2 linked regions of the Saccharomyces cerevisiae S288C genome follow. Changing the gene in region 1 together with any one later gene gives a genetic interaction. Each region holds a gene or a part of one and is shown in the gene's direction. Other genes may lie near its edges.

Region 1 (3,077 bases):
GAAAGCCGAACCAACGGTAGCCCCAGCCTTAACTTTTTACTTGGAGAATGAAATTAAAAGCTTAGAATCATCCAACCATGAATTTTTATTGTCTGCAGTGACTAGAATGTACACACAAATAAAACAAGTGTGGTCTGATAATGTAGAAGAGCAGGTTTTGCACTTCGAAAGAATTTCTAACGCAACCACCAATGGAGAAATTCTTCCAGGTATACTTGATTTACCAGTAGGCTTGAAGAATTCAGAAGATTTGTTCCAATTTGCTAAGAGGTCTATGGATATTAAAGATACCGATGAAGGCTACGAGTCCATCGAATTAATGAATTCGAGCTTCAGGAAGCTAAGCATAGCTGCCACACGATCGATAACTCACAAAGAAGTTAATTCAAGCATTAATCCAAACCTTTCAGATACTGCTGCTTTAAATAATGACTATATGGAAACTATTTCTCTCCTAGTGAACAGTAACTGGCTAACTGAAATGCTTTCCATGTTAAACTTCAATAAGGATGGTATATTTGATACGTCATTGCAAAACGTTAAGAAAGTTTTCGATGTGGAAAAAGAATCTTATGCTTCCTTTCTACTCCGCGATACTATGCCTAAACTAACAGCCTTTGTTTATGGTGTGAGCAACATCATTGAAAATACCAACAATGTGAACATGACCAATCCTTCAAGATGGGCCGCATATAGCAGGCAGAACCTAGAGAACATTCTTTTAGCATACACTTCCCATGAAATTGAAACTCTAGTAAAAAGGCTGCACACTCATATGGTAAATGACTTCGGTTACCACCAAGAAAATGCCATAAACAACGTCCTATGCGATAAGTTGTGGTCGTGCATTCAAGGTCAAACCGTCTCACTATACTTGAAACTATACACTGTAATTGATAAACACTATAGAGGGACAAACATACGCTTCACGAAGAACGATATCATAAGTGCGTTCGAGGAATACAAGAATGCCTAAGTAACCTCTGCATTGTCGCTTCATATTACATATTTAGACTAATTAAGTAAATATTTTGATAAATTTCAATTTCAAATATCGTGTAAAATGATATATTAGTTTTCGAATTTTTTTTTCTGAATATAAAAGGAACAGAATATTAGTTAGCTTCATTGTCCAATTACTATTGTTACTTACGTTTAATGCATTTTCTTTTCTTTCACTTCCTTCCTTAATACTCCATCCTTATGCACGGGAAATACGCATATCAGTGAGGATTCGTCCGAGATTGTGTTTTTGCTGGTTGAAATTTAATTATAAACCAGACCGTCTCCTCATGGTCAATTCGGTGTTCGCTTTTGAATACTTCAAGACTATGTAGGGAATTTTTGGAATACCTTTTTTCATTACCGATATTCATTCTTTCAAAGGGACTGTTTATTTTTCTTTGGAAGTAATATCAAAAAATAGGTTAGGGATACCGGACTGAAACATTCAATTGAGGGCCCAACCATATTTTTCTTTTCTTTTTCACCGAATTCTCTAATGTGAGTTCACGTTATAGAAGCTGGAATTGTAAGTAATACAGAAATGGCAACTAAAATGGTAGGCATGAGTGTTCTCCTTCTTGTGTGTCTTTCTTTTCACCCGATACAGTAAACTTTGTATAGGAGAGTTGACCAATTACCTGACAGTGCCGTCTATAAACGAGACCTCAACTTCACCTCAAAAACCATAATTTTATCTATTGATAATTATCATTATGGTCATTTTCCACTAAATTCATAGTTACCTTACTCTTATGCTTTGTATTTGTAGGTGTAAAAATGACGAAAAATTTAATTATCTGAAAAATTATTGTGTGAAAAAACTTGATTTTGCTATAACCTTATGTAAAACCATATAAAAGACAAAGACGGTAAACTAAAACAGCAGAGAGGAAATGTTTAAGAAGTATGTCTAACATGAGAATGAATATTGCGTAATTCACTGGTTTTACCAGGGGTTAGTGTACACTTTTGACTCAGTAAGCAATTACTAACATCATCATCGATAGATTCACAAGAGAAGATGTCCATTCACGTTCAAAGGTCAAATCTTCAATTCAAAGAACGTTAAAGGCCAAATTGGTCAAGCAGTACCCCAAAATAGAAGATGTTATTGATGAATTAATTCCTAAGAAGAGTCAAATCGAGTTGATTAAATGTGAAGATAAGATCCAATTGTATTCCGTCGATGGTGAAGTTCTTTTTTTTCAAAAATTCGATGAACTGATTCCAAGCCTGAAATTAGTACACAAATTTCCAGAGGCTTATCCCACTGTTCAGGTTGATAGAGGTGCTATTAAATTCGTTCTCTCAGGTGCTAATATCATGTGCCCTGGCCTAACTTCTGCGGGTGCCGACTTACCACCTGCTCCTGGTTACGAGAAAGGTACGATTGTAGTCATCAATGCCGAAAATAAAGAGAATGCATTGGCTATTGGTGAATTGATGATGGGTACTGAAGAAATTAAATCAGTGAACAAAGGTCATTCCATAGAATTGATTCACCATTTGGGCGACCCCTTATGGAACTTCAGCGTTGAGTAACAAACGGAGCCGTCAACACTATATTACTATCCATCTGCTACATAATAAAATAAAGAAACTAAGAAAAAATTAGAATAACATCCGCTTACAATCTAAAAGGCTGTTTCCTGATTTTTAAATATGCAACTAGCCAAGATTAACTATATACTGTGATTACGATGGGCTGTTAACCTTCTGAATGCTCTTGTTATTTACTGGAGACGAAACATGAATAATATCTCCGTTCACAACATTAAAATCTGAAATGGGGCGAAAATTATACTTTATTTCGTTTATCATCCCTTCAGAATTTTCATGAAATAACTTAACATTCAGTATGTCAAAGTTTAGCTTTCGACATATTACACTCTTAACGTACCTTACTGTAAAACTGGGAAGGACCCAATAATCTAAATCACTACTCGGCTTCTTGCCAGCTCTTATCTTTATTTTTAAGACAAGAGATTGCCGTGTTTCTCTTTCATTGTTGAAACTTAGCTTACTCATATCGATTTCATACGACTTTATGAGGCTTGACCAACGCGGCAGAT
Region 2 (2,768 bases), on another chromosome or scaffold:
TGCCATGCTTGACTCGTTATGTTCGCAATCAATTTTCAAGAGGTAAACCGAAACATGTGGAGCTCTTTTACAGGCTCCGATAATAATAAAAGAAACTTTAATAGTTGGTAAGAACTTGACAAAAAAAAACACAATATATATACATAAAAAAGTCAACAACTGACAAGCAAGGTAAAAGGTGATAAAGTTGAAAGATGACTGGCGAAGAATGGGGCTTGACTGTACTGTCATTCTTGGTAAGAGTCGGATTTTTTCTTTTTGGCATTTACCAGGACGCTAATTTCAAAGTGAGGTACACTGATATCGACTATTTTGTGTTTCATGATGCTGCTAAATATGTATACGAAGGCAAATCACCTTATGCAAGGGATACATATCGTTACACACCGCTACTAAGTTGGCTGCTAGTGCCTAATCATTATTTTGGATGGTTTCATTTGGGGAAGGTCATATTTGTTATTTTCGATTTGGTTACTGGGCTCATTATAATGAAGCTTTTGAACCAGGCCATCTCCAGAAAAAGAGCTTTAATATTGGAAAGCATTTGGCTATTGAATCCGATGGTTATCACCATCAGTACAAGGGGAAACGCTGAAAGCGTGCTTTGCTGTTTGATCATGTTCACGCTTTTTTTTCTACAAAAGAGTAGATACACCCTAGCTGGAATCTTATATGGTCTTTCTATCCATTTCAAAATATATCCAATCATATATTGTATCCCAATAGCAATTTTTATATACTACAATAAAAGAAACCAGGGTCCACGAACACAACTTACATCGCTACTCAATATCGGTTTGAGTACTCTAACAACTTTGCTTGGATGTGGTTGGGCAATGTACAAGATATACGGATACGAGTTTCTGGATCAGGCATACTTGTACCACTTATACAGAACGGATCACAGACACAATTTTTCAGTGTGGAACATGCTATTGTATTTAGATTCTGCAAATAAGGAAAATGGTGAGTCCAATCTCTCAAGGTACGCATTTGTGCCTCAATTGCTGCTTGTTTTAGTAACTGGATGTCTTGAATGGTGGAATCCCACATTCGATAACCTATTGAGGGTTTTATTTGTGCAGACGTTCGCATTTGTGACATATAATAAAGTGTGCACATCGCAATATTTTGTTTGGTACCTGATCTTTCTACCATTTTACCTCTCAAGAACGCACATTGGTTGGAAGAAGGGGCTTTTAATGGCCACGCTTTGGGTAGGAACGCAGGGAATTTGGTTAAGCCAAGGTTACTATTTGGAATTCGAAGGCAAGAATGTATTCTATCCTGGACTATTTATTGCAAGCGTGTTATTTTTCGTCACCAATGTGTGGCTACTGGGTCAATTTATTACTGATATTAAGATACCGACGCAACCCACAGTTTCCAACAAAAAGAACAACTGACTGACGTGAACTTGCACCATGTACATCAATTCTATAAATCTACTCATATAATGAATGTGTAAATATGAAAAAAAAAATGCAAAAGCGCACCACCAAAAGAGAAAAAAGCTGAAAAAAAAAAGGAAAAAGATACTTGATGTGATGTGTGAGTGAAAAAATTATTAATTCCTACTGGATAAAATCACCCCAAGGAAACAGTTCAAGAGCTAAACTAAAGAAAAGCATATTGCATAAAATGTTAAGAGAAGTCATCTATTGTGGAATTTGCTCCTACCCACCAGAGTACTGCGAGTTTTCAGGAAAATTAAAGCGTTGTAAAGTTTGGTTATCTGAAAACCACGCAGACCTTTATGCAAAGCTATACGGTACTGACGATAATACGCAAGAGGTGGAAGCCGTGACCAACAAACTGGCTGAATCCAGTATTGGCGAAGCTAGAGAGGAAAAGTTGGAAAAGGACTTGCTGAAAATTCAAAAAAAACAGGAAAACAGGGAACAAAGAGAATTAGCTAAGAAGCTGTCATCGAAAGTGATCATTAAAAGAGAAGCTAGGACCAAGAGAAAGTTTATCGTCGCTATCTCTGGGCTGGAAGTTTTCGACATCGACATGAAAAAGCTAGCCAAGACATTTGCGTCTAGGTTCGCCACAGGGTGCTCAGTCTCGAAAAATGCAGAGAAAAAAGAAGAAGTTGTCATTCAAGGTGACGTGATGGATGAAGTGGAAACTTACATACATTCCTTGCTGGAAGAAAAAGGCCTAAAGGACGTCAAAGTGGAAACCATCGATGCTAAGAAGAAGAAAAAGCCTGCTGCAGAAGGAGCTGCCAAGTAAGCAATCCATAAATATGTAATAGCACCGTTCTGGGAGAAAAGGACTTTTTACTTGGTAACCAGGCGTGTAGGTTAGATAGTCAAACCCTATATCGTTCTTGAGATCGTCGCTCATATATACTGTGCAGCCGGCCCTCGTGCGCCTGCGCCGTTCCTTCTCTGAAACCTTCGTAGTAGGACAATAAATATAGTCCCCATTGCCTATTCAAATTATTTGCAACCGAAAAACTGCAAAATTTGTTGTTGACCATAGGCGTACAAAACACAACTCAATCCAGCCGTAAGTAAGTATAGTTATGACTTCATCTCTAGATGATATAGAACCAACAGCATATAATAATATGGAAGCGGACGAGGAATATTGCAGACGCAACGATATACATGACCTTTCCAGCGTGGTCGGTGATGCTGTCTCACAAGGTGTGCCAGACATGGATGGTCAAACAACGGATTCTTCGAAGGACCCTGAGCCAAATTCCGAGGATAAGAAAGCGTTTCCTCCTTCGAGTGGCTCATTTTTTTCTCCTAATC

What was found. A genetic interaction does not mean that the proteins touch.
Region 2: of TMA20 (region 1) and TMA22, changing one enhances a phenotype caused by changing the other (phenotypic enhancement), as found in Saccharomyces cerevisiae (one study listed by BioGRID).

Annotation. Positions count from the first base shown.
Region 1 is NC_001137.3:165,707-168,783, reverse strand, and holds TMA20 (translation machinery-associated protein 20), read left to right. Parts: upstream 1-1,898; coding exon 1,899-1,909; intron 1,910-2,012; coding exon 2,013-2,547; downstream 2,548-3,077. Other genes in the region: GTP-Rho binding exocyst subunit SEC3, read left to right, coding at 1-976; PAC2 (Pac2p), read right to left, coding at 2,701-3,077. UniProt on the Saccharomyces cerevisiae protein: Involved in translation.
Region 2 is NC_001142.9:460,188-462,955, forward strand, and holds TMA22 (Tma22p), read left to right. Parts: upstream 1-1,641; coding exon 1,642-2,238; downstream 2,239-2,768. Other genes in the region: YJR012C (uncharacterized protein), read right to left, coding at 1-6; GPI14 (glycosylphosphatidylinositol-alpha 1,4 mannosyltransferase I), read left to right, coding at 195-1,406; YJR015W (uncharacterized protein), read left to right, coding at 2,534-2,768.